Linked DNA regions of Astyanax mexicanus. The protein of the gene in region 1 purifies or fractionates together with the protein of each later gene. This does not show direct contact. Links are inferred from orthologs where the notes say so. Each region holds a gene or a part of one and is shown on either strand. Other genes may lie near its edges. The genes, in order: ppp6c, ankrd44, serine/threonine-protein phosphatase 6 regulatory ankyrin repeat subunit C and ppp6r3.

Region 1 (7,264 bases):
TTTGGTACAGTACTAAAATGTTTACTAAAAATGGGATAAGGCCTGTTCTGCTGCCTTTGGCACTGGGTGCCTTTACAATGTGCAAGGCATCATGAAATCTGCAGATTACCAAAGTTTTTCTGGTCACAATGTTGGGCCCATTGTCAGTTTTTTGTGTTGTTCCAGTACACACAAAGGAAATAAACACGTGTATTACAAAATGTGTAATTTTACAATAATAATTAATTTTCTGGTATAATTTTAGGGGTGCTAATACTTGCTTTCAGCCATGACTGTATGTCCAGCAAATCATCCAGACTTTTTTTACTTGATCTGGTTTGTGACAACAGCTAAATCTACAATCCAGCTAAAGTTGAGGAACGTTGATATGTAAATACATATGTTATTATGCAAATTTGAGAAGCTGTGGAATTTGATATGTAACAACTGTAGGACTGAATTAGGTGCTTGGAGGGAATTGGTACTTGCTGTGAGTCAGTCAGAACATACAGAGGCAGGATGTAAAGTTAACAGCTGTACTGGAACTCCTCTTCACTACAGCATAGCCACACATAGCATTAGTTGGAATAAGGAATGCACCAATATGAGAACTCTGGGCTTATACCAATATCTAAAAATACATGGGTACCTATCTGCTGGTGCTGATGTCAGTGATGATATACACATTTATAACTTACAGAGAGATGAGACACCCAAGAAACGTTATAACTTTAAAACTCATAAAAAAAAATAAAAATCAACTTAAATCAATACATTTTAAAATAGCACGGCCAGCGCTGACCAATTGAAGTAGTGCGGCCAGTGTTGCTTGGTCCTTTTTGGATATAATATATAGGTCAGTAAATAAAGGTTTAAAATACTGGCCATATTGATGATACTAAAAAAGCAATTATCAATAATTCCCATATCTTTGTGCATCCCTAGTTTGAGTGTGTGGCTAATACACAAAGGGGGAAATAGACTATGTATAAAAATTCAAGGCTGATAAACAATTCACAAATTGTGAAAAAAAACCAAAACATAAACAAGTAGATATAAATCTAGGCAAAACAGCAGCAATAATCCCAACAAACAGAGAGTCAGTAGCACACTAGCATTAAATTAAGGCTTTATGTAGCTGTGCTAATCTGGCTAACAACACAGAGTACTTTTATTTAAGGCTAATAAGAGAATAATAACAGTGTTTTACTTATCCTAAAGGTTATATTAATAGTATAAAGAAAGAAGCTGAGAACTCTTGTGAAGATATGAACTTACTTTACTCTCATGAACACAGCCAAAGCAGGTTTTCACTGCTTTGTTCTCTCTGTGATTAGTACTGGCTAACGCTAGCTAACTGCCCTCAGAAATACAGCACGACTGAGCTCTCTAGTGGTCATTCTAACAATTACACAAATATGAGTAAGAGGTCAAGCCTGAGGCCTAAATTGTGTTTAGAGAGCAGTCTCAAGGATCAGAAACAAAGCCAATTTCAATCCAGTTTAAACCATTCACTGCTATGTTTAATCACTAACTTTTAAAATGCTTGGATGCTTGTGTAAAGAGTAAATTCCACAGCCCAGAAACAAGGTATATCAATTGTTGCATACTGCTGTTTTAATGCCTTTGTTTTAAGACTTGTTGGCAAAGTCTTGTGTTATGATTGCTAGAGTTCTACATATGTTTGTGTTATTTTTATATATGGTTCTGTGTTCTGTACTTTGACTATGGATCTGTCTGTATTACAGTATATCCTGCTTACCTGTGTTTTGACCCCCTCTTGCTATGATTATAAATATTGTATTGCCCAAAATAAAGGTATTCAGCACATCACAGCAGCCTCACTCACACTCACAAATAAATATGCATTCACATTCACACTGTTTTTTTACTTATTTACACTTCTATGTAGGGCTGGACAATATAGACTATATTATTATTTCACAATATACTGATACAATATAATTCTGCACATGAATATAACAGTATAAAAACAGCTGATAGCTGGCAATATGGTAAAATATTACATTACAATATGCAAAGATATTTTCATAATACACAGTGCTTATCGCAGTGTTTTGATTTTCGAAAAAGGCATCAGTAGTGGCAGATTTTTATGAACTGCACAATGCAGGTTAACTGTATTTAATTACATTATCTGTGTGTCAGGGTTCTTTAAGCGCCGATGATATCCCTGATATGCTCATTAAAGCATATTGTAATATTACACATTTTACCAAGAACATTTGACATACATATGCATAAAACTGTAAATAACTGAGTTTGCTTTTCACAGTTATAATAATATATATATATTATAATAATATATATTATAATCAAAATAGGGATTACAATGTGTTGTTACAAAATGACTCAAAATGTTTCCAGTACAGCCAGCAGGTGGCGCAGCTCTGCAGTTTCCCTCCCTATGGTACAGTGTGTGATTTCTGTACGCTGGCTGGAGTTGCCAGGTTTGTGATTTCCACACTTTTTTTCGCTCAACCATGAGTGTATTTTGACCCTGATTTGAACATCTGGGAATCCAAGGACAAACAGGCCAGAACAGTAGACCAGTTGTTCCCATCCCTGTTCCTGGAGGATCAACCTGCCCCGCACCTTTTAGTGTTTACCCTGCTTCTTGATGAGTGTTAGTGTGAAGGTGAGTGCATACCCAGCTGAAAAAAAACATCCTGGTTGTTACTGTTGCAGGAGCTACCACTATGTTCTTACATGCTGACCAGTATGACCAGTTTTATGATACTAATTGACCAACATGACTACCAGTATGATCACCAAATAACAAAATTAGCCAATCAATTTGACCAGCTTGTCGATCAGCTTAGTCAATTTAGTCATGTTTACAGTCCAGCCAGTCCATCAAACTTAAATGAAAGGTACATCATCACTGTCCATTGAAAAACAAGTATCTCCAAAGTGGCTACTTTACAGAAGAAAGATAAAACCTACTTAAATTTCAATGGAAGTCAATGTAAAAATAGCTTATTTCAGGTCATTTTGGAGAATTTCTATTGATCCATTCAAATTCAGAAATGTTGACACGGTGTAAGGGACAGTGTGTGTGTTCAAATTATGTAGTAAACTAGAAATCCACAAAAATGGAGGTATAGGGTATGTTTCAGGTTAAATTACCATCTTTTTAACCAACTTTACAATCAAGGACCAGGTGAAACAAGCTCCAGCAAAAGCAGGGCATACATTATTTCACTGGTGTAAAGTCGAGCAACTAATGTAATCACGAGTAATGTAATTTATGAGTAAATTACTAAAACAAACAGAACCTGTGTGAATAAGTGATTAGTTGAGGAGAGTGAGAGAGAAAGGTAAACTCAAGGTGAAGTTAATGTTAAGTCTATTGGCACTTTTTTCCACTGTGTGGTCCCTGCAGTATTTGACTCTATGACCTGCTTTTTGCTACCTGGTACCCCCGAAATCTCACAATTTAGCTGCTGACATTGCAAAACATTCACTATGTTACCTTTAGAGCAACAACACAGCAACAACAAAGGAACTGCTAAAAGGATTGTGTTTCCAAAGCCTGCAATGTGAGTGGCCAGTCAGAACTTTAAATGTTTCAGTATTACATTTACATCTCTAAAGTAGTGCAAGTACCATGCAGTGGAAAAGCACCATAAAAAAGTGTCATAGGCACAAAATACATTAACTTTGCATCACTGCAAGTTCTCCAGATGCCATTTCTTCTGCACATACTGTATATCCTCGGCCACAATTTGTCTAATATTTGTGACCTTAATAGTGTAAAACATTGTCCATCAAAACCACCCTCAAATATGTATAGTAACTGGTAAAAGTTTGGACACACCTCTTCTTGTCCAATGTGTTTTCTTTCATTTTATATGATTTTTTCTTTGTAAATTTAATATTAAAGACTATATTAAAGCTATATAGGAGCACATACTGAATTATTCTGTACACAAAAAGTGTTAAACAAACCAGAATATGTTTTATACTTTACATTCTTCTAAGATTCTTTTTTTTTCATTCAGTGTATTTTCTTTCCTTTTTATTATTTTTTTTTACATTGTAAATTTAATATTGAATACAATATTAAAGCTTTACAGGAACACATGTGGAATTATTTTGTAAAGAAAAAGTGTTAAATAAATACATGTAAAAAACGAATAATATTTATTTATATGTGCGTTATTTTATTTATACTCATTTTATTTGGGTGGGTTTTTAACTGCTCTTTAGGAGTGGTGGATATTTGTACCGGACCTGGCAACCCTGCCGCTGCTGCGTGTGTTTAACCGACCTCAGATCAGCTTCTCCGGGGAGGGAGGTAGACGCGCTTCCTCTCTGCCCTGCGATGAGCTGTTGTTCTTAAAATGGCGCCGTTAGACTTGGACAAGTATGTTGAAATTGCGAGACAGTGTAAATATCTTCCAGAGAATGACTTAAAGGTAAGTGTCCGCCTGTTATTTGGGGTTTAATTTAAGCTGTAGAGGTGTGGAAGCGCTCCTCGGCCTCGGTTAGAGGTGAAGAGGACTGCTAAGCTAAATGCTAAAGTTGCTAGCGGGGGTTATTTAGGCTAGGCTAGGCTAAGCTAGTTCAGTATTAGAGCTCAGGAAGCTCAACTAGCTTCAGTTAGCTTGATAGTTAGTAACTCTAAAATGTGTTTAACCATCTGTATTTGCTCGGTATCATTACTATTGTATATAGTTAGCTGGTCAAACTCATTTAGACAGCTAAACGACTAACCTGCTAGCTTACATAGGCTAGCTAACATTTACCACGACGTTGCTAGCTAGCTTAGCTTAGCTAACTGTTGGTGCCAAAATAACCAGGTTTAGCGAACCAAACCCAGCAACGATTTCTAACGTTATTCAGTCTCTTTCCACGCCAGCGTATTTGCACTGCAAATGTAGAATCTCTTCACCTTCATAACTCTATGGTCTCATTTTTATTAAGTGTTATTAGCCAGCCTGCAGTCAGGATCGAGCTGCGCTGCTGCTGCTGTTAAACTGCAGTGTAATGAAAACCGAATTAAGCTACAGTTAACCTAGGTTGGCTAGTTGACGGTTTCTGACACACCTTCTTTGGTCGTTTGTCTCATCAAATGGGGATGCAAACTGCAGCAGTCTCTTACTAAACATACAGCTACAGTTTTATTTTACGCCTTTATTTTATCTCTGTCTCCTGTTGATAATATCGCTCATAGACATTAGAGCTAAGTAAATAAGACATTCAGGAGTCCAGCCCTTCCAGTTCTTATGAAGATGCTAAAGTGTCAAATAATGCGGAGTGAGCACTTAATCAATTTACTGTTTTCAACTAATGTGATTTTCAACATTTGCTAATCGAGATTATAGATCTTTACATATAGAACCTGCAAGCGGGAATCTCGGTAGATAGGCCTATGCTTCTGTTAAGAAACATGTAGCTTAATATACATGTATACATTTTTATATACATCTCTTACGTTACCAGTAACTTAATTTTCATTTATTTAATTCATGTTTTCTTTAACTGAAATATTAGAAAGTTGGGTGTAAACCTTGTGTAATATAAAAGCTGTTTTTAAGTTTGCAGGGAGCTGCTTGCTATTCTTAACAAAAATGACTTCCCTTAACATGCATGTTTGCTAATTTCATATAAAGCTCTAAATGCTGCTGTTTGTTTCTCTTTTCTCACATATGTAAAATATTTAATATATTTAATATTTTATATATTTAAGATTTTATTTTACTTTATATTTATTTATTTTTTACAATATCACAGAAAATCTAAATTTTATTTGTTTATCTTTACAATATCTCTCAGCCCTAGTATCAAGGTAGAGAAATACATTTTAGGGTCATAAACAATTTCCCCAGTTCAATAAGTAATTGAATAAATGCACTCATGTTAATAGGTTAAATCTTTCAGCTATTTTAGTAGAACCTTTTAGTAGAAACAGTTCTAATAAAAAAAAATCTATTTTACAGTCCTGTCTCTCATTTTAGTAATTACCTCAATTTAGAGTCTATACTTTACTTACATTAAAAAGTGATTATGATTTATGAAATCAACAAGCAATGTATTACATTAAGGTGAAATTGCTCCACAATGTTAGGGGGAATATATACATTGAATCATATAAAAAATAATAATTATCTTGTCAGTATATCAATAATGTATTACATCTTAGCAATAAATGATATTGAGCAGATACAATCTATATTTGGGAGAGGTTGTGGAAAATGAGATCTGCGAAAAATGTTCCTCTTGCATAAAACAGTTAAACAGTAACTTGCATAAAATTACTCGGCCTGCGATTGTTAATATTACACATGCTTATATTGTGATGACAAATCTGCAGCAATGTTTTGTGCAGCCCTATTTGGGAATGATTTAATAAATGGAGGAAATATTTTAATTCTCAAAACATTTCTCTTCTGTCTTTATACTTTTGCTTTATACTGTACTGTTAGGCTTGCACCTGTTTGTAGCTGTGATGTCTATCTTAATTTATTTAATATTAGTTTGTTTTCTTGTTTGTTTTATATGTGATTTCATGGCGACCTGCCTGAAATACCATAGCAGTCAACATGCCACAATATAGCAGTGTTTACTTAGCAACTCCTTAGCAACCATCAGGGACATCTTAGAAACCACCTGAAATACCATTGTAATAAAATATAAACAGCCTTGCAGAAAGTGAGGAAAAGTATAAGCTGTTGAGGAATTTTGCTTTTCTTTCAGGAAATGCACTTTTCTAGTTAAAGTTTGTACTGCTGCTCTGTCACAGAGACAGGTGCATTAGCATCATGCCTTACAGTGTTTTTCATTATAATTGCAATTATTTGTCACTACTCATTTAACTTATCATAAGAAAAATGTTTTGCTAAAAAGACTGTGACTCCTGAACAGTTTGTAACATTTATCTTTGTTTGCTTTGGCAGAGATTGTGTGACTATGTATGTGACCTGCTACTAGAGGAATCAAATGTACAGCCAGTATCCACTCCAGTCACCGTTTGTGGGGACATACATGGACAGGTAGGTTCTGTTAAGAAACTGTAATAACAGTGTTTTTTGGATTGTCCAGTTTTATAATGTTGTTTTGAGTGCATTCTTAAACACAGTCTTGTTTTCTCTGTTTTATTTTTCTTAGTTTTATGACTTATGTGAACTCTTCAGAACTGGAGGACAAGTTCCAGACACAAACTACATTTTCATGGTATGTTTACATTGGAAATGACGGCAATGATTTGCTTTCAGTTATTTTTTTGGAACCTGAAATAAACTGCAAATAACAAAATTGC
Region 2 (7,584 bases), on another chromosome or scaffold:
GTCCTTAATATGAAAAAATGATGTAAGTCTGTGATGCACGAGTCACAAACATTGTTGATGCCATAAAATAGCCAATATGTTGCAGATATGGCACAAAACACAAACTGAGTACTCCCGTCTGTCTTTGCTTAATGTGATAAAAATAAACGACAGGTAGTTTGAACACTGACTTCTATATTAGCTGTGGTGGGTTAAACTACTGCAGAAAGCATGATAATGTGAGTTTAAACAGGGTTAACTCACACATTACCATAAATAACATTAGTTAAAGTAGTAAAACAAAACAAAATGCATTAAAAATATGCATTAGATCAGGGACCTTACCAGTAGAAAGTACAAATGGCATGACAAAAAATATATATATAATAATAATTGTGACTAATTGGTAAAATAATAATCAGATTAGTTGACTACTAAAACAGTCATTAGTTGCAGCCCTATTTTAATATATATTATAAAAAAAAAAATATATATATATATATAATAAGCTGTTCTGGTAATACTAATGCATGCTTTTCTTTCTCCAGGCCTCACGATGTGCTTGCTACACTACTCAACAACTTAAAAGTGCAGGAACGGCAGAACCGTGTGTGTACAACAGTCGCCATTGCCATTGTGGCAGAGACGTGTTCACCGTTCACGGTTCTTCCGGCACTGATGAATGAATACCGTGTCCCAGAGCTCAACGTTCAGAACGGTGTTCTCAAGTCCCTCTCCTTCTTATTTGAATATATTGGTGAAATGGGAAAGGACTATATCTATGCCGTCACGCCGTTATTGGAGGATGCACTGATGGACAGGTGAGCCCAGCACAAAGAGTACTGTTTTACAGTGTTGATGTAGACCAGAAGTTCTGGTCTTGGAAAATCAAAGTCTTTCAAAGGTTTTTTGTTAGGAATTCATGCTAAGTAATTGGTCTTTCTGCAATATATATTACAATATAAAAAATATAGAAATTCTTTAAATTTGATTGTTGGATATAATCTGCCTGCAAACATTCCTTAAGAAGCAAGCAGCGTAAGGTTCAACATACATCAACATGTGTTGGATATAATTTGACATTGTATTTTGTCATTGTGCAATGAAAAACGATTATCTTCAAACCAGCAACTTTACAGGAGAGAGAGATTTGTTTTATTATTATTATTATTATTATTATATATATATTTTTTTTTTACTTTCAAAGGAAGTCAATGTAAAGTGAGTTTATTTCAGGTAATCCTATGTGACTCTTGCACATGTGAACATTGGCAGTGCTGAAATAATGTGTTGTGCAGCCCTAATTTCTACAAATCCTGTATATAATTAATTTATAATGTATTTACTACTGACAGGAAACGTACTGTTAAAGGTATAGGTAGTGTACATTTAAGTGGTTTCATTAAGGTTTATTTGGTGGTTTTGGTTAAAAAAAAAAAAAAATAATAATAATAATCCAAATAATCCTAATCCATATTAAATTTGTGCTTGTTCTCTCCTTTTAATACGCTTTCCATGTCCTTCACAGAGACCTTGTGCATAGGCAGACGGCGAGCGCTGTAGTGCAGCACATGTCCCTGGGTGTGTATGGATTTGGCTGTGAGGACTCTCTGAACCACTTACTCAACTACGTTTGGCCTAACGTCTTTGAGACGTCGCCTCACGTTATTCAGGCTGTGATGGGAGCTCTGGAGGGTCTCCGCGTGGCTATCGGGCCGTGCCGTATGCTGCAGTACTGCTTACAGGTATGACTCTGTTCTCTGCTCTTTTTTTACTGTAGATTTTTATTTGTAATTTCCTGTTAAGCGAATCCACTGATCGTCTTCAGATAACTGATATCTTTATTATTTCCCCACATTAGGGTTTGTTCCATCCTGCGCGGAAGGTACGTGATGTCTACTGGAAGATCTATAATTCCATCTACATCGGCTCCCAGGATGCGTTGATTGCACATTATCCCCTCGTCTACAACGATGAGAAGAATCCCTTCGTCCGCTATGAGCTGGAGTACTTCTTATAAATACCTGTACACACCTTTTTCATGTACACTCTTTCGTTTCCCTGCATCTTTGTCTCCCATAAGCCATGATTTGTAGAAATAAGTCAGACTATTTTTAGTTCTGTTGCTTTGCAGCTACATTCATCACACATGCTGAGGTCAGAATAATTTTTAATAAACAACTGAAAGTGGGAAAAGCGTGAAACGTATAAGAACTTTATTATTTTGGTTTTTAAAAAACACCTAACTATTGGCAGTGAAACGTAGTGGCACATTCACTAAAATGTGAAGCCTTTAGCAGGAATGTCTGGACAAATTGTAAAGTTGTGATTTTCCTGTAGCGATCTGTCCTGCTTCTTTTCATCATCCCTCATCTGTTCTTATTTGGATGTTGCTTACTTTGGCTGAATAAACATTTGTGTATTAAAAGTCAATTTGTGGTTCAGTCTTGTGCTTTTGAATGTGATTGTCTTATTGTTTTGAAAGTGCATATATGCTGGTAAACCAGTGTTTTGTATTTTGGACACTGATGAGTTGATCAACCCTTTATTCATCAGCTTGTGCTTTAAACACATATACAGCTCTGGAAAAAAATAAGAGACCACTTCAGTTTCTGAATCAGTTGCTCTAATTTTGCAATTTATAGGTATGTTTGAGTAAAATGAACATTGATGTCTTATTCTGTAAACTACAGACAAGGTTTCTTCCAAATTACAAAAAGATAGTGTAATTTAGAGCATTTATTTGAAGAAAATGAGAAATGGCTGAAATAACAAAAAAGATCAGAGCAGTTTTAAGAGTTCAAATCAATATTTGGTGGAATAACCCTGGTTTTTAATACAGTTTTCATGCATCTTGGCATCATGTTCTCCTCCACCAGTCTTACACTCTGCTTTTGGATAACTATTCCTTTACTCCTGGTTTGATGGCTTGTGATCATTCATCTTCCTCTTGATTATATTCCAGAGGTTTTCAATTAGGTAAAATCAAAGAAACTCATCATTTTTAAGTGATCTCATTTTGTCCCCAGAGATGTATATATTGGTCAACCAGCAGCACACCAGCACTGGGCCAACTTAAATAGCGAGTTTCGCACAGTGTCACGTAGTTAGTGAAAGGAAACGGTTTTAAATGGGGTCGCAAAACATTTACAGTGACCTGACCCAGACTGCTGTATGGTAAAAGAGGAAGAGAAGAGATTAAGTTTCATTAGTTTTTCCAAATATACAAACATTGCTCCAAAAGCAGAAAGAGGATGACTGCTGGCCTACTGCTGCACAGGCATTTCTGCCTTGTGGCTATTCTGTGCACTTCCTCTTATTTATTTTTTAAGTTTAAGATTATTTTTAATGACACGTGTTCTGAGCAGTGCTCTAAACTTGGGGAACACTCTTTAGTGTTAGAAATGTAGAAAATGTAGCTAAAAAGTTTGCTTTTCTGTTTGTGTTTTTTTGTACTATTCCTGAAATTCGAATTGTGGGGGACAAAAATGGAAAAAAAAGAAAATTGAAAAGAAATTGCCCTCACTTGATTAAATGGAGCACAACTAACAATATAAAAGTCTTAAGCACCCAAGTGAGAAATAAAGTGATTAATTGATACAGAAAAACTGGTCAGTGTATCGATTAGCAGTTTAATTCCCTCACTGTATCAAGCTAAATTCCAAAATAGAAAATTGGGAATAAAACTTTTTACATTTTATTTTCCATTCAGGAGAGTAAAGAAGAAATTAGTTTTCATCCAATTTTTAAATTATGGAGTTTTTCATTTCAGCCTTTTGCAAACAGAATTAAAAAAATGAAAATGTAAATCTTTTCTTAATATTTGTATTTCTTTTGTATTTTTGTTTTGTTGTGACACAAATCTGATGTTATAATCCAACTCGCAAAATGCAAAACTGGAAAAATCAGAAAATAAAGAATTTTTTTTTTTTCATTTTTCCTGATATTGCGATTGTGAGGAGTGGAAATGAAAAAAATTAAATTTGAAAAAAAAAAATGGATGAAAACTTATTTCTTGTACCCTGCATTACATACAAATTATGAGTTTGCATTTAGTTTTAAAAGGTCAGAAAATTAAATGAATAAACGTTACAGTAATCACACTGACCCATCAGTGAGGCAAAGCTCCTTTAGCATGCTAGTGCTATCATTGTGTGTGTGAGTGTGTGTGTGTTTCTGCGTGTTTTTGTACACTTTCGGGACGTGATGTCCTCCTTACAATGCAGAAAACTGAAGAACTGGAAGAGTAGCGTATAATATCAGAGCTGAGATGATTGATCTTGAATTAAAAAGGCTAAAATAGCAGATTTGCACATTTTAAGGTTGGGATTTTCAGTAGTAGATGTGTAAATAGAAAAATAGCTAAACATATGACAGGAATGGGACCCAGTGTCCCGACAGTGTATAACAACGAACATGTGTGTGTGTGAGTGCGTGTTTTTGTCTACTATGCAAAGATCTGGAGACCTGGGAGAGTAGTGTGTGTGTGTGTGTGTGTGTGTGTGTGTGTGTGTGTGAGCTGAGCAGAGGGAGGGCCCTCAGTCTGAGGACTTCCTGTTTTCTGAGAGCATCTGAACACACACACACACAGGCAGCAGCAGGAGAATGCGTGTGTTGAGTGTGTGTGTGTGTGTGTGTGTGTGTGTGTGTGTGGTGAGCTGAACACACCCGAAGTGTGAGCTGAGTGTGCCCTGATGCTGCTGCTGTAAATGCGGATTAATTCCGGCATCGCCCGCCTCCATCCCTCCAGCCCCGGCTCGTCTCCAGCTGCAGCGGCTCGCCCCGCTCTCGCTGGACGAAGATAGCGCCCGTGGAGCGGCCATCTAGCCCCCGGGGCCGCGAGCTGAAGCAGAGCCTAGCGGTTACCGCTGCTGTACCGCCGCCGCCGCTGCTGCTGGATACTGCGGGTCTCTCTGCTGCACTGAGCGGAGCGGAGGATCAGCAGCTGCTCCTTTCTTTCATTCTTTCTTTTCTTCCTCTTCTTTTCCTCCAAATCTCCAGCCTTCACACTCAGGGCTCGGGGGAGGCTCGGATGTACCGGTTCAGGTGACCCTCGATATGGCTGTTCTGAAGCTCGTCGATCAGGTTGGTCACTTTTACTGAAATCTGTCTGAATATTTACACTGTTTTACTCTGTTTTAGAGGCTGAAACCTGCAGAAGTGCTCAGAGTTACCCAATAGGAAATGACCTGCAGCTCATTCCGCCATTCTCTACACAAAACTCACTTCTAAAATCTCATTTTTTTTTACCCTAAAATTGGCCCTGCGTGTTTAAAAAGCTCAATATCACCATATTTATGTGCAGAGAAAATGTTCAGTGAGTCACTTTTCCGACTCTGAGTCGAGTCTCGAGTCGTTTGCGAGTCCTGATTCGAGTCTTTGATTCGAGTCCGAGTCGTGACTCTATCTCAAGTTCTTGGTCTCTAATCATGAACACTCAAAAAAAAAGCTTTAGCATTCTGTGTTATTTTTACAGAATGCATTGAATCCAGAGTCTCTGATTCAAGTCTCTAAATTGAGTCTCTGATTCGAGTCTCTGATTCGAGTCTGAGTCGTGACTCTGTGTCAAGTTCTTGGTCATTAATCATAAACACTCAAAATTAAGCCTTAAACTAGAAATTGTGTTAGTTTTTACAGAATGCATTAAATGCACAGCACACAGTACTATCATTAAATATTATACAATTATAAGTGTAATACTTGCTTCAGTCTAGGGTCCAAATTTTTATACTATTTTATGCTAATCTGAGTCGAGTCTTGAGTCTCTGATTCGAGTCTCTGATTCAAGTCAGGTTCTTGTTCTCTAATCATAAACACTCAAAATTAAGCCTTAAAATAGAAATTGTGTTAGTTTTTACAAAATGCATTGAATACCCAGTACACAGTACTATTATTAAATGTTATGCACTTATAAGTGTGGTTAATACTTATTATCCTACTTAATAACCTATCTCTGTTAGTTATAACATATTCTTTATAATGCGTGCACACGTTTGCACACATTTTGACCTTTCACAGTCTGAGTTAGTGCCCTTGTTGCTCAAGTCCAACTTCAGTCCAAATCCTACATCAGGTTTGCAGCAGCGATGTCACAATACTTTAAAAATCTTTCCCAAGCTTTAAAAAGCAGTTTTACTTTTTAATAATAATTTTATATTAATTATATTGTCAAAAGGCTTCAAGGTTTTTGGTCTCAGAATTAGGCCTGGATTGTAATGCTCTAATGCTGTAATGCTCTATTGTAACTCTACATGAAACACTACATCATATATCATGACTTCAGTTATAATGTGCAGTCTGGGATGGGATGCTGACGCAGTCTGACGTTTCTCAAGGATTTAGACTTCAGTCTAGAGTACAAATTAGTGCCGTTGTTGCTCAAGTTCAACATTGGGTTTTCAGCAGAGTTGTCACAATACTTTACTAATCTTTACTGAGCTTTGAAAATAAGTGCTCCAAACAAAAATGGTGCAGACTGTTATATATTATATTTTATATTCTTCCAAATTCTTATATTTTGGATTTCCTTTTTCCTATTTAGATTTAGTTTTTTGTTGTATTTTTGTCTTTATGCAAACCTCCTTTGCACCTCCTTTGCTGTAATGGAACCATGCTCATCTAATTTCCATTAGGCTCTTCCTCTGTTCTTTTAATAAGGTGTTATGTTGTTGGTATGGATGATTTCAGTGGGCATGTATAGATGTTGTGACTCCAAACACTGGAGGCTAAAGGTTATGTTTTCAGCTAAAAGCAGTGTGTCATGCAGGTTGACAAATACATAGCGTCTAGGAGGCTGTTTTGCTTTACAGAGCAGAGTATAATTATAGTAGCCTAATAGTAAAAAGCAGAGACATTACAAATGATCTATAACAAAAAACAGAACAGCTGTTATTGAGGGTAAGGCATTATCTACACACTGTTTTATTACTGAGCTTAATTAAGTTACTACTAGAGCTGGTCAGTACATTGAAAACATTGATAGGATGCTTGTAAAAAAAGACGGTCCAATCGATGAACCCTAGTGGACATTGAACACCTATAATTCACCATGTAGTTTTAGTTTAAAGATTCAGTTTCTTGAGATTCTACAGTTTCTTAGAGGAAAACCAATTTTCTATCTGTTAATTTGACATGTATGATATTACAGACATTACAGTGTAAGGAAATTTAATTAACTACTTTGTTGAATTCTGTTCTCTATAACAACTACTGTATAAAGTGATCTGGATTTTTGCACGTATTGGAGAGTGAATAGGGAGGGCACAGCTTCAGACACAGCTCTGGACTTCTGAAGGCAGTAGTTAGATGCATCAGGTGGGGTGAATTAGGATTGGATCCAAAGTCTGCAGGAGGGAAGTCTTGAGGAGGACGATGCATTCCAGCTCTCCAGGCTCACAAACTGAGATTCCTTTCTACACAGATGTGTAGATGTGTGGATGGTGCTTATATATGTGGTAGTGGTTGAAGGGTTGTAGATCTTGTGTTTGTAGGCCATCGTGTTGTTTCCCCTTTCCTTAAGGATCTGGGGGAAGCCCCCCCCTTGCTGTGGAGATGTGCGCAAGCGCAGTAGACATAATATGCCGAAAATCGTTTCCTTTTTTGTGC
Region 3 (7,080 bases), on another chromosome or scaffold:
GTTTTTGGGGGAAAATGCTCCAGTTATCCAGTATAACGCTGCTTTAGTCCGCTGGAGAAGCGAACGGGAGAAACAATAGGATTTCAGCTACTGCTCATGAATATTCATACATGCTAACATATCGCCTCTGATTGGGCAATAGCACTGCAACACCAAAAGGCGGATAAATTTAAATTATTATTAAATTATTTTTACACTAATTACAGTTTTTGCAATGTCATATACAACACATGTAATGCCCTGCTAAGTGCAGTACATCCACTGCTCTGGTCTTAGAGTCTCTGTAAAACAGAGTCCAGGTCCAAAAAGTAAAAATCCACCACCAGGCAGTTGAAACAAAACCCAGGGGTGGATTTTTACTTTTAACTAGTGTAAACAGAACTGTTCTAAAAAAAATACACCTACTTTCTCAACTGTACTTCGCTGGTGGTGTTCCATAGACAAATTCTAACCATTTGTTCCTTAGCTCTAAATTACTGGGCAAAGCATACAACACTGATGCGAGCCAATGAATACTAATTCACAAGTTGACGTAGACAAGGTGCTTTTCCTGATTTACTAATTTTTCTTTTCATTTTTATTAGGCACTAGAGATAATGGTGGATGAGGAACAATATCATATGCAGCATGCATATACAACTTAGACTTGAGAGCAAAAATATATTTGGGACATTCCTTTCAAACACTATTGAGGTCATGTCCATTGACTGTACAATAAGTCAATATTGTAATTATTGTGACTTTTTTTTTCTTTAGATGGACTTTGCACTTCTGTTAATTTACTATAATAATACAAAATTGAGATTTGACTGAATACATTTTCCCCTTAGTTAAGAGTGGATGCTTTAGTTAAACTGAGGAAACTATTTAATATAATTAATACATTTTACATAAAACTAGCTAGGCTATGTAAAGATTTAGGAGGAAGCTTAATGAGGAAACGCTAGAAGTATATACCGTTAAATATTATTTTATACAATGAGAATTTATGGGCTGACTGGTAAATAAGTTTCTATAATTACCAAAATTTCCTGGATTTTACTAAGTCTAGATTTAATTAGACTTAATTTAATTAATAATTTAATTTAACTTAGATTTACTTGGCAAAACCTTGCTAAGCTAGTTGGCAAGCTAGCTAACTAGATATTTAACTTAAGTTACCTTAGCCAGTGCGAGGCTATTTTACTGACTAAATGTTACGAAATGTATAGAGAATTTTATAAATAAATACATAAAGGAAAAATAGCTCGCGTTAGATAAATCAGCTAAAGCAGCGAAACGTATCTAAAACGTAAGCCAGGGTACAGTGACTGTTAGCCAGCTAGCTTAGCTAATTAATGAGTAGAGCTACTCGTTAGTTACGCTGGGCGCCAATTTGAGAGAATATGCATTATGTAGCGTTATTTAATGTGGCGTTTAGTTTTAGTTCAGGGTTTAGATTAAAACTAAAATGTTTCTTATCTATAGGAGGTGAGAGATAAACCAGTTAGCTAACGCTAGCCTAACTAACCACTAAATGTTTCTCTCAGTTAGCTAACTAAGCTAACTAGCATTATCGTTAGCTTAGGCTGAGAGCTAGCAAGCAGGTTAGCCGCTAAGCTAGGCTAAATTAATGCAGTAAATGTAGCGTTAGCTAGGATGGCTACTATTTGTGATAGTTTGTGCACTCTATTATAAATATAAACTCAATACGTTTCAATTTAAATCTGTTCCTAATCTAAATCTATAAGAAATAAGCTTAAAAACTGAAAAAAGGCCATTTCTGTCTCTCCTTAGTCGCCTAATCACTGAACCCACCCCTTTTGACAAGCAGGGTGTTCTGCCGATTTGTGCTACCATGTCAAACCATGCTACCACCGTGTATATTTATAGATAGCGAAAGTTTTGTTCTAATTAAATAATAGCTAGAATATTTCAACTGTTCCAGGTTAAGGGCATAAACTGAAATCTTAGCTTATCTTAGTTTAATCCTTATAAATCTAGTTTAAATATTTGAAATTTCAAAAGTCTGCTTTGCTGTCAGAATATTATAAACATTCAGCTTATTTTTAACCAACTTAATCTACTGAGTTTGTCTTATTCAACCGGCAAATATTGTCGCTTGTTTTATGCTTTATTTTTTAACAAGAACGAAAAGATCAGTTATTTCAATAATTAAGCAAAAATATCTGCCAATATGTTTAAACACTTTTAGTAGACTAAACCACTTAAAACAAGTAAAAATGATTATTTACTCGATTTTCTGTTTGTTTTTTCATCTTGTAACAAATGTTGATTGGATTATACGATTAGATTTTGTGTTACGAGCTGCAGAAAGCAGAGAGGCAGAAATAAAGTAGAACACTGGCAAATGATAAAAAATATATATTTTTAATTACATTTAAAAAAAATAAATAATGAAGCTTTACACGTTAACAGTTTACTATTTTCAAATGTATGCACAAACATTCGGAATATTTGTTGGTAAACGGATGAAAGTTACACTGGCAAAAATCATTGTACTAGGGTAAATAAAATGTAAGTGGTGTGATTATTTTTGTTGTATTATTTGACTGGAGTCGGCTTTTTTACTTTAAAACAAATAATAACTGTAAGGTTAGATAATATACATGTATGATTGACCCGAGAAAACAGTATTTCTACGAAAAATACAATATATTTACGTAAAAAAAAACAGCCGGAGCATGCGCAGAGCTGCTACAAACACATCTCGGTGGGTAGCACAAATCGGCAGAAAACGGGGATAAAGAAAGCCGTGCAGAAATATCTGCGCGACAATTCGGGGCGTCCAGACTCACCTGCTCTGTAATGCTTAATATTCCCATCTCCCCAAAATCAGCCGGGGCGCAGCTCCTTCATCAGGCCGGGGTGGAGAGAGGCGAGCGCGGGTTATTTCGGGTTATTTCTGATCAGTACTGAAGGTAAAGGCTAGCAGCACCTCCATCCACACTCGCCGCTGTTTATTGCTCTGAGCAGCAGAGCTACGAGAACAACCCCCCCTACTGGGACGGCGGCGGAACCACACCAATGTAGAGCTGCTTCAAAATTAAAGAGCCCAAACCCACATTGTCCACTCTATTGCATTTTTTCTAGTGTTAAAGTAAAACATTAGTGTCAAACATACACTAGAAATCTTTAAAATTCTCTTTTAAAATAAAATATAAAAAAGTGTCTCATTAAACCTGATTGTCCGAATCGAAAAGTGGATTTTCATAATTTTTAACAGCATGAGCTGACTGCTAAACCAGAATGCATTGTGAATCTTGTTACCTAGCTAGGGAACGAACTGGACACAATGATTGTTGCTTTAAGCATTGGTATTTACGATAGTACTACTTAGTGCTCATAGTATTTATAGTACTTATGGTCTTATAGTGTGTTTCTAAATAACACAAATAATGGTTAAACATTATTTCCTGAACAGTGCAGTTTTGGGTACAGCTGTTTGCACGTGCAGAAAATTGTTCAACAAAAGATATGCCTTTCTTGTCAGAAAAAAATATAATTTACTGGTCCATCTCAGGCAGCTTTACATAATGTTTTACAAGGTTTGTAAGCCGAAGATGGTTACAAAACTCATGTGACATTTAAAAAAGCATGTTTGAAAGCAAGTCCACTAATTCCTTTGATTTCCTCTTAAGAAAGTCTTTATTTTAAATAAATGGTTGACTGCATGTTCAAATAATTGATATATATGACAAAAGAATTCACTCATGTTACTTGAACTTATTTCTGTTACTATTTATGTTTTTAGTATAAGGACTGAAAGTAACAGGAACAAGTTCTTAGCATAGGATTAGCGAAAACATGAACAATATCTAAATGGCAGCTATGCTAATAGCAGATGTCCCAAGTCTCCCGGAAGACGTGGGAGTCTACCGCATATCAATAACGGCTCCCTGATGCCTGCAAGTCCGATAAAATCTCTCTCCCAGAATCTAGCATGTGCACACAAGCGACTTTTCCCCAATCGCGTGTTGAAAGAGAAGGAGAGGGAGAGAAAGCGCTCCCCTTGTGTGCATATTAATGAAGTGCATGCAAAACCAAGAGGGTTATATATATATATATATATATATATATATATATATATATATATATATATATATATATATATATATATATATATAAACATTTATTTATTTATTTTTTGGACAGGGGATTGGGGGTGTCCAAGTCCAGGTCCGGGGGCACCTCCCTGAAATTAATTTTTGCAACTTGGGATGTCAGCATGTGGACACTTAGCACATTCTACTGATTTTCTCTAAATTTGTGTTAAATTTGTATTAAATAAACAAACAACAACTAGCCTTAATATTATAGATTTATTAAGAAAAAATATTTTAAAAGCATAAATGGGAGATCACACAACTATGCAAAAAATGACATCTCTGATGGACTTTAATAATTATATTTCACGGTAAATATTGATAAATAGATGGATAGATAGATACTTTATTGATCCATGAGGTGAAATTCTAGACATCCAGCAGCAGGTATGTATAGTACACAAAGTTACAAAAAGATAAAATATAACGATACATATAAATACAATAAAATAAAAAATAAAAGGAAAAGTATAAAATACAGACTTTAGTGTGTGTGTGTGTAATGGAGAATGTAGGTAGTGCAGTTGAACACAATAGACAGAGAACACCAGTTGATGTGCATAAAGTGAGGAGTTAGAAGGTGTTTATAGTTAGAAGGTGGGAACAGGTCATTTTAGGTGGTTTTATATGAATTTTTATATGAATATGCTTAAATAAGAACACAAGCTTCTGTTTTTCTTAGTTTTTTACACTCATTGAATGAAATATAATGTCATATATATGTTTGTCTAAATTTAGTGAATGAAACTAACAAAAAAAACAGCCACGTGTTCCACGACGTGTGCCCTGCGTCACGGGTTGTGGGCGGGGCCTGGCGTTAGCCGCTAGCGGCTGTGAGCTGTCTGTATGATCAGCGGGTTGAAGTGCAGCTGCTGAACTTCGCTGTGTTTCTCGGTTCTGGGCTCCAGTTCGTTTATTACCGGCTCTGTGGGATAAAGCGGGCCCGGCGGTTCTGTGTTACTGGGCTGGAGTCTGTAGCGGGCTGGCGTGGGGCTCGGTTCGCCGCTGGTTCTGCGGGTTAGCCCAGCCCAGCCCAGCCCAGCTGCTAGCTGTTAGCTCTCTCTGTGGTTCTGAGTAAACAGTTAAAATGTGAATTCAGCTCCTTCATTCTCTGCTCTCAGTCATGCTTCTCTTTCCACTCTGGACCTCTCCGCTGTTCCTCACTGTAAGAGCTTCTGGACGATTCGGAACCACCTGAAGCCTGTAGAGCTGTGTGGTCCCGGGCTGTAAACACAGGCTAAGGCTAGCTGGTAGCTGGAGGACACTGCAGGGTCCACAGGGAGCCGGTTCTGCTGGGGATGTCTGATTATTTTCTGCTTCAGAAAGAGGAAATTCTACCTAAATGGCTCTCCAGCTGCGCACTCGACTCCTGTCCAAAGAGTTCATCAATATCTCCTTTACTTCTGTAAGATCTAGAGCCCGACCAGACCAGCCAATCAGGTGAGCAGAAACTCAGTAATATAATATTACTGTTTATAATAATTATAGTAATAATAATAACCATCTTTATTTATATAGCACCTTTAAAATGTAGTTTAAAGTGATGTACATGTACATACACAAACAGATTAACAAAACCTCAGAAAAATAAACAAAACTCCCATAAGAAGCAAGAAAATAAGTTAAGAAGAGATTAGCACAGTTAATACAGCAATACAGATTAAAACCTAAAAAGAAACAATAATCCAACAACAAAACATTAGTTTAATAGCCACACTGATAACTATGTATATTTTAATATGCAGTATATTGTTCCTGTGATGATTGCAATTTTATAATTAACACTATTACGGTCACTCACATTTCATTTATCAAATAAAGGTAGCAACATTAAAGGAGACATTCTGTGTGAAATGGACTTGGGTGTAGTTAGGGTTACCACCTTTCAGAAATGGGAAAAAAATAAATGTGTGTGTGTATGTATATGTATGTATGTGTATATATATATATATATATATATATATATATATATATATATATATATATATATATATATATATACACAGTGGGGAGAACAAGTATTTGATACACTGCTGATTTTTCAGGTTTTCCCACTTGCAAAGCATGTGGAAGACTGTAATTTTTATCATAGGTACTCTTCAACTGTGAGTGATTGAATCTAAAACAAAAATCCAGAAAAATACATTCTATGATTTTTAAATAATTAATTTCCATTTTATTGTGGGAAATACAAGTATTTGATCATCTATCAACCAGTAAGAATTTTGGCTCTCACAGACATGTTACTTCGTCTTTAAGAAGCCCTCCTGTTCTCCACTCATTACCTGTATTAACTGCACCTGTTTGAACTCGTTACCTGTATAAAAGACACCTGTCCACACACTCAATCAGTCAGACTCCAGCATCTCCACAATGCCCAAGACCAGAGAGCTGTGTAAGGACATCAGGGATAAAATTGTAGACCTGCACAAGGCTGGGATGGGCTACAGGACAATAGGCAAGCAGCTTGGTGAGAAGGCAACAACTGTTGGTGCAATTATTAGAAAATGGAAGAAATGCAAAATAACGGATAATCTCCCTCGGTCTGGGGCGCCATGCAAGATCTCACCTCGTGGAGCATCAATGATCTTGAGGAAGGTGAGGAATGAGCCCAGAATTACACGGCAGGACCTGGTCAATGACCTGAATAGAGCTGGGACCACAGTCTCAAAGAAAACAATCAGTAACACTCTACGCCGTCAAGGATTAAAATCCTGCAGTGCACGCAAGGTGCCCTTCCTCGAGCCAACGCATGTCAAAGCCCGTCTGAAGTTTGCAAATGACCATCTGAATGATCCAGAGGAGGAATGGGAGAAGGTCATGTGGTCTGATGAGACAAAAATAGAACTTTTTGGTTTAAACTCCACTCGTCATGTTTGGAGGGACAAGAATGATGAGTACAACCCCAAGAACACCATCCCAACCGTGAAGCATGGCGGTGGAAACATCATTCTTTGGGGATGCTTTTCTGCAA
Region 4 (7,783 bases), on another chromosome or scaffold:
CTGCTGGTGTTTGGGCTGAAGTGCTGTGTACTCTACAGATGTTGCACCTCCTGCTGGCCAAACCCAGTGATTTCAACATGACTTTAGAATAGTCTCCTTTACCCTGTTACTTTATGTCTCTGAATACGAAACTTTTTAATCTCACATACTTCATGTGAATGACTCAATCTGAAAAGATCTAAACTGATTAACAACACCTACCCTTCTGACCAGGGGGCGCAGTTTCTCAAAAGCATCTTAGCATTAAGAATATTTAAGAATCATTTTAGTTATATGAATCCCAGATTATTATTGTTGATGTGTTCCTGTAATAGTTCCATCCAGAAAAAAATTACTCATGCTGTTGTTTTGGTAGTATTCTGTGAGAGAAGTATCCCTTGGAGAAGTTTGAAAGCAGATGGAGCAGTTAGAAGAATTAGAGAGGGGTTGCAGCAGAGGTGGAAACAAGTCACTAAATTGATTTAGGACTGACAATCACCATATATATTTTTTTAAATCTTTGCCATAAAGCAGTAATTTAATCTGCATTTACAACTTAAAAGTCAACTTAAAGACAGCGGTAGACATGTTAGATTTTGAAAATGCATGGATCTTGGCCTGCGTGGTGTTCACTTTCTTTTTATAGAGTTAATTTTTAAATAACAGTTAAAATCTTACTTTAATTTACTGTATTATTTGGGGCAATCTACAGTAATAAAACACCTTCTTGTAGGGAGTCAATTCCAAATGAGTTCAATAAAAAACATATAAGATCCTTATCCTACCAAGTGTTTAAAAACATATTCAGGAACTATTCCCAGCACACCTGACCAGACTAATAAACCAATTAACATGTCCTTTCTGAGCTGAACAATAAACAATCATTGAGGGTCTCCTTCTGCTAAAATCCGCTTTTTTCATGTTCTTTTTGAAATACTATAGATCTCTTTGACTTGTATGTGCATGCTGCATACGAAACTGTTCTTTAACATACATTGTCTGCAGAAGCTAGTAAAAACATTTTTCAGAAAAACGAGTCGATCAGGAAAAGCACTGTGTCTACATCAACACATGAGTTCATTGCCTTGCTAGAGTCGAGCTGCACCTGTAAGGTGGTTACAACTGAAAGTTTTAGTCAGCCGGGTTCACATCCTCGTCATCAACCATGTTTAATATTAATATAAGTCTTGAGTCTTGCAAATAGTGACGTGAACGATGTCAACAACCAATGTCTACAGGAAGAGTCAAAACAATATTTCACCTTAGTGTTTAGAAAAAGAACACATTTTGCAGTTTACATTTTGCAGGTATTATATGGTTCTTACTTTAACATGTACTGTATTTTAAAGTAATTATATTTATAGTTATTTTATTTTGCACTACTTTGTCTTATTGTGCAGTATTATTTTTAATAAACATGTTTAGTAAATACACATTTTGCAAGAATGATGATCTTTATTGCATTAATTCTATCTATAGCATTAAAACTGTGATTCTTTGTTTTACAAGGTTGTAGCAAAAAAGGGGAAAAAGAAGCTTATAGACAGAGTTGGACATAAAATGTATTTCATTAAAATGATCAAGAACTAACAGTATGGCAGAAAAAAATAAACTGATGGGGACAAATGTGGTGAGTCTCTGATAAATCACAGTATTGACTGTAATTTAATTATTTGTAATTTAATATGTAATATGTATTGTATGTAAACTCCACCAGAAGCATGATGGGAAATAATCTCAGAAAGAATCTAGTCTCAGTCTTGCAGTTAGTGATACCCTGTCTTTGCAAAATCTTTGCCTGTGACTATTCTGTGACTAAAAAGTCTGTGACTTTAGATGTGAGAGGGGATCAGACTTTAGCCTGTTAAAAGTCTTTGTAGAGTATTTTCAAAGTCGTGTAATGTATGGACAGCTTTAGACTGGAGGTCACTAATTGCAAAACTGCAACTAGATTCTTTCTGAGATTATTACCCATCATGCTTCTGGTGGATTTAATATACAAAACATATTACATATTAAGTTACAAATAATATATCAATATTGTGATTTATCAGAGACTCACAACCTTTGTCCCCATCAACAATTTTTTTTTTGCCACACTGTTAGTTCTACATATTTTTAATAGAATTAATTTTGTGTTCAACTCTTTCTATAAGCTTTAACCTTGTATAGCAAAGAATCAGTTTCACTGCTATACATTTGCCTTTGTTTTAGATAGAATTAATGCAATAATTACATTATTCTTGCAAATATTGTATTTCTTAAAATTGTTTGTAACAAAACTAACACTGCGCAATAACACAAAATAGTGCAAAATAAAATAACTTTAAAATACTGTACATATTAAAGTAAGACGCATATAAAGTCATTAATTGCAAACCAAAATATTATTGCCTTGTGGCATCCCCATCCCTCTCCAATTGGTTGTTAACATTGTTCACGTCACTATTTGCATGAGCCAAGTCTCAAGACTTGCGATGATATTAAACACGGTTGATATCAAACCCGACTGATTAAAACGTCTAGCCACCCTACACTGAACGATCAGAGAGGGTGGTCTGGTACTTCAGGTATTTCCTTCAAGAAACTCCTGTGTGGGTGATGGATGAGGGGAGCTAATTACCTTTAAAATAAACAAATAGTCTCTTATGGCACATTTACTTCAGCGTGAGGTATGCAGAGCTGCACAGTGCGACAGGAAACAATGTCATGAAATCAATTAATTTGAACACTTGGAAATAAAATAATAATAATAAAAAAATTAAAACTGCGTTGCCAATTATTTTTGTGTCTTTAAGCCCAAGTCCCAATCCTAGTCAGTGAAGGTAAATTTAAAGTAGAGTCAAGTCTTATTTTGTTGAGTAAAGTCCATGTCATGTGTCTCAAGTCAATGCATTGTAGAGCTTCAGGAAGTGCTGTGTGTAGAAGAAAGCACTTACCAAGGAAATGAAGGACCTGGGAGAGTTACACAAACGAGGGACAGGGAAATCCATTAATTATCCTTTTAGTGCCTGCACCTTTGGCAGATGGCTGCATGACACAGGACTGCATGCACACAGACCATTCCTGTCAAGCCAGACTATCATAGAGTGATACTGACTGTGAAAAAAGCACTGTGGTCATTGCCAATACTGTTTTAAATCACGTGGCACACATCCAGGACAGCTGGTGTCATAGTGTAGGATGCATATTCCTAACGTGACAGATCACTTCTGATCTTCATTACAGGCAACCCAACATTATGTGAACATGGTCTTGGAACTGGTGGCCTGGTGCAATATTCCAACAAGACAATGATTGTCAGCATTCTGTTGTCATCTCAAGCGCTTGAAGACCAGCCACATCACCAGAATTGATGCCAGACTGAAGATATTTGGTTTTGTATGTGTCACGATACCAGCACTCCACCCCACCTTAAAATGTGCAGGAAAATATTTAAGCTGCACGGATGGATCATTGTAGGATACCATTAAGAACAGCTACAACTTCATGCTGAAACGTCTGTCATGTTGAGTTACACATGTTACACACTACTTCTGTATGAACTATTGTCAGTATAGTCTACATTTTTTATATTTTGCTGTTCCTGGTAGCCTTTGTTATGCAATCTGACACTTCCACCTTGGTGCTAGTATTTTTTTATGATACGTATATATTGACACATTTGATATATTATTAAATGACATAAGAAGTATACATATAATATGTTATAATATAGATTCTTCGAGGTAGGCACTACCTGCTTGGATGACAGCTTTGCACATCTGAATTGTCTCAGAACAGCTGTTCTGAACCTATCAACAGTTAATTACTTGAATTTCTTGTCCTTTTAATGTGTTTGAGAGTATTAGTTGTGTTGTGAAGAGGCAGAGTAATCCACGTTATGACAAGAACTACTTAACTACTTACCTTATCAATGTATCAGTCATTAAACTGCTCCTTACATTTCAGTTTCTGTTTTATTTTACTGGTTTATTTGGATCCCTGTTAGCTGCTGCCTGCACAGGTAATAATTTATAAAAAAAAAAAAAAAAAAAAAAAAAATATATATATATATATATATATATATATATATATATAGATTGTATATATATATTATATAAAATATATTATATAAAATAAATATAATAAAACATATATATATATATATATATATATATATATATATATATATATATATATATATATATATATATATATATATATATATATATATATATATATATATAAAATACTAAATTCTAAATGTAAGTTTTTACCACGACAATCTGCGTGGTTCTGATGTAAAGTACAGTACAGCTCATGCACAATCATATTACACCACACCATGCTCCGGTCTTATCACATTGCACGGATCTCTGAACCACATCTAAGGGTCAGATGTCAGGTCCAATTTGCTACACCACACTGAACCAGCCGGGCAGTAGCTGCTGCGCTTCATGGCATAAATGATCCTTGGGACAGTCTGACCTATATTTTACCAGTGGGGGGAGGAATACATCTCCTTATCAGTGAACACGGATAATAAAAAAGATCCTGAAGTGAATCACAGTCAGAGTGTGAATTTAAACATGACATGATCTTATATCACATTCTGGTTATTATGACTCCTTTCATCACACTGTGCTGATAAAAAGTCCAACAACAGAGATGTAGCTCTGCCTGCTTCACCCGTTACAGCAAACACAAGCAGCGCGGCCACAGACGGCAGCGACGCTGATTGGCTGAGGGCCCTGTCGGTCACACTGACGTCGGGTTGTTGCTAAGGCGTTGAGAACAAGTAAGACAGAAGAACGAAGCGAATCGGAGTTTGAGTTTTTTCCTCTTTAAACGTGTTTCTAATCCTCCCTTTCTGCTGTAAACCTCTGAACATGTGGGTACCTGAGAGGGGAACATGACGCGCACTCGATAAGTCGGTGAGACGTTTTATTCGAATAACATTTTACACGAAACGTTAAAACGTAGTTTGATGCGGGTTCAGCTTTTCTGTGTTGAGGGCGGGATTTGTGGTTGAAAACGCAGCCAATCCAATCAGTTCGCAGATTTTTGTAGTACGCGAAAGTCTTATTGGTTGAATATAGCGTGGGCGTGCCCAATGTAGCAGATTACTATAATATTAATTTGATAGCGGTGAATTAAAATAGCAAATTAGGTTCAATGTTGGTTAAGTTTTCTCCAGCTGAACTGAGCCACAGCGTTTGACGTTCCTTGAATTTCAGTGGCCTGTGTTTACTGACGTGCGCACGGTCCAATCAGCGCTCGGCAGTCGCCTTTGATTGACATGTACAGTCAATGCAGTGGGGGAAGGGGACGGTAGCTCCATCTTGAAGAGGTGCTGTGTGTGTTTTTCGCGCCTGTCAGACTCGGACTGTCAACACTTTAACACCAGTATCTTCATCTTTTCATCGGTATTCTTATGTTTAAACCTTTTATAAGCGACTTGCCGTTTTATCCGAGGAGTCTCCCAGCTTCATGTCGGGGTCCTGCTGTGTAAAAAGCTCTTAATTGGTACGTTTCTCTCCGTTTGTTCGCTATGAAAGAGCGTTAGCTTAGCATGCTAAGCTAAAGCTAAGCTAATGCTAAAGCTAACCGTTTCCGCTCTGCGCAGTCGGACTACGCGGCTATCGCGTTTTATTACATTTTTCCAACGTTTACACACGTTTAACTAAGTTGTATGGTCCGTTCTGAAACAGTATCCTGATATACGTGAACTTTAAAACCCAATCAGCTGGCTGAGGCGAGTTATTGTTAACGTGCTAACCAGCGTATTGCGTTTCTGTGGACGAGTGCTAATAGTAAAGCTAATGCTAGCGGAGTTCTGCGCTGCCAGTGCCTAAATTTTGATTTAGCTTAGCATAGGCAGCTAATGCCGGGCCTGTAATGGAGTAACTTTTGAGAAACGGATTCATAAACAGCACATTAGAAGGTGTTTGACTTTTGTTTAGGGGATTAGATTGAGTTATTGGGTTCTCAATTACAATTGATCGAATTAGCTAGCTAGCTTACTAGTTAGTTTACCTTAATATACTTTAATCCGGTTAGCCGGCTAATGGCGAAGTTGGATTGTTTTTGTGATTTATAGAAACTGTAGTACAGTGGAACACAATAATATAAATGAATAACAACAGATCAGGGCTGAACAGTCCAGCTGTGAATTATGATCAGCTGTAAGACGATCAGACAGCGTGTAAATACAGGGGTGCGTTGTTCCTATTGCAGTCTTCGCAGTTGATGTTCCTACAAAGAAATTCAGAAAACTCAGTAAATTTTTCCCAAATTGCCAACAGAATGCCTCTGTTCCAGGAACACCGTTTTACTGATCAGTTTGATTGTCTATTTTGTGGGGAAAATCTACGAAATGATTTTGAACTTGACTGACTGTTCGTGGGGGGTTGGTAAGGTGTCGCTAGATGGTTGTTATGGTGGGTGCGAAGATGTTTTTTGCTCTAAACATTGAAGTCCAACCACGTCTGGATAAATGGTAGTTAGAGACGGGCGATATATCGTTATTTTATTTTACTGTTGTAATACATTTTCATATCAATCTAATCATTGCTTAAAGAACACTAATCCAACTGTACTTTTCATTACAGAGATTGTAAAATCCTGTTTAATTGGATGGTGAGCAGCAAAAATTTAAGAAGAATCACTGTACTATGCATTAAAAAACAAATTAATAACAGAATATCAGAATCTGCCACTGGTTGTGCATTTTGTCTGCATGTCAGATTACGATAAACACTGTTGAACTGTTATGTGAAAATGTCTTTAAATATTGTGATAGAATGTTTTACCATATCACCCAGCTCTCAGTGCATTATTGCATACGGTGGAGGGTGGAGACTTCAATACTGTTCATATGATATATAGGAAATTGTATCATTTCAACAATAATTAAGAAATATATTGTGATCTAGATTTTTGCCATATTGTCCAGCCCTAAATTAAGTGCAAATTAATATAACTGTCAGCTAAATTGTAGAGTACCAAAACTCTACAGAGCTAATCCAGAACTCATCCATGCGCAATGGAGAGAAAACACCTGCAGACTTTAGTTCTGTGGTGCTTGTAAGATGGTACCTGTTGTGTTTTAAAGTTTATGAGCAAAATTTTAGGGCACTCTTATTTGTGTGTTTTGACCACACAATTTGAATGCTTGTGTAAATATACAATTACTTTTGCACTAATCTGAAATCTGTAAACAAGAAGCCCAAATCAGTTTATCTTAGGTTTATTTAATAGTATATGGCTGATTTTGTCAATGTGGTTTGAACTACACCTGTCAAACACTTTGGAGTTGTTTTATAGGTTCCAGAATAAGATAAAATATATTAGTCATTTTAAAAACACATAGTGCTTGTGACATTAGAATGTCGACTCCCTCGAATTAATGGGCTCTGCTCACTAATTGCAAACTCTAAACTGTTTAGAGTGGATCATGTCAGACCAGCACAAAAACAATTTAGACACACCTGAATGTTTAGATGTGTGGCCATGCTCATTTGTATTACCACTGTCTATTATATAAATTTTGACCATTCGTCTTTTCTCCAGTTAGTAGTGTCACTCCAGACCAGTATAATATCAGGTTAGGATTGGTAAAAGTCATTATGTTTCTTCTGAAATGATTCTTAGTTTTGCACTTTATACCGTAGATTTTATTCATATTAAATGTAGGGGTTTTGCTACTATACGCAATGTTTGTGTGTAATGCATTAGAACATAATGCTACAAATGTTTATTTAGGCTTAGTCTGATAAAACTTCCCTTTACTTTGTTTACGAGTTACTGAAATAATATTGGT

Evidence for each region.
Region 2: the proteins of ppp6c (region 1) and ankrd44 purify together in Homo sapiens (affinity purification with mass spectrometry; 5 studies listed by BioGRID and IntAct, counting the BioPlex papers as one, with this or other methods). This does not show direct contact. The link is inferred for Astyanax mexicanus from reciprocal best matches to the Homo sapiens genes PPP6C and ANKRD44.
Region 3: the proteins of ppp6c (region 1) and serine/threonine-protein phosphatase 6 regulatory ankyrin repeat subunit C purify together in Homo sapiens (affinity purification with mass spectrometry; 6 studies listed by BioGRID and IntAct, with this or other methods). This does not show direct contact. The link is inferred for Astyanax mexicanus from reciprocal best matches to the Homo sapiens genes PPP6C and ANKRD52.
Region 4: the proteins of ppp6c (region 1) and ppp6r3 purify together in Homo sapiens (affinity purification with mass spectrometry; 10 studies listed by BioGRID and IntAct, with this or other methods). This does not show direct contact. The link is inferred for Astyanax mexicanus from reciprocal best matches to the Homo sapiens genes PPP6C and PPP6R3.

Annotation. Positions count from the first base shown.
Region 1 is NC_064408.1:18,384,836-18,392,099, reverse strand, and holds the start of ppp6c (serine/threonine-protein phosphatase 6 catalytic subunit), read left to right. Parts: upstream 1-4,261; 5' UTR 4,262-4,346; coding exon 4,347-4,421; intron 4,422-6,902; coding exon 6,903-6,998; intron 6,999-7,113; coding exon 7,114-7,179; intron 7,180-7,264.
Region 2 is NC_064418.1:3,467,366-3,474,949, forward strand, and holds the start of ankrd44 (serine/threonine-protein phosphatase 6 regulatory ankyrin repeat subunit B), read left to right. Parts: upstream 1-4,560; 5' UTR 4,561-5,037; coding exon 5,038-5,064; intron 5,065-7,584. Other genes in the region: sf3b1 (splicing factor 3B subunit 1), read left to right, coding at 528-800, 1,508-1,724, 1,841-1,999. UniProt on the Homo sapiens protein: Putative regulatory subunit of protein phosphatase 6 (PP6) that may be involved in the recognition of phosphoprotein substrates.
Region 3 is NC_064431.1:14,604,868-14,611,947, reverse strand, and holds the start of serine/threonine-protein phosphatase 6 regulatory ankyrin repeat subunit C, read right to left. Parts: upstream 3,001-7,080; 5' UTR 2,826-3,000; coding exon 2,799-2,825; intron 1-2,798. Other genes in the region: coenzyme Q-binding protein COQ10 homolog A, mitochondrial, read left to right, coding at 5,449-5,546. UniProt on the Homo sapiens protein: Putative regulatory subunit of protein phosphatase 6 (PP6) that may be involved in the recognition of phosphoprotein substrates.
Region 4 is NC_064417.1:10,376,442-10,384,224, reverse strand, and holds the start of ppp6r3 (serine/threonine-protein phosphatase 6 regulatory subunit 3), read left to right. Parts: upstream 1-4,765; 5' UTR 4,766-4,895; intron 4,896-5,277; exon of another isoform or gene 5,278-5,487; intron 5,488-7,783.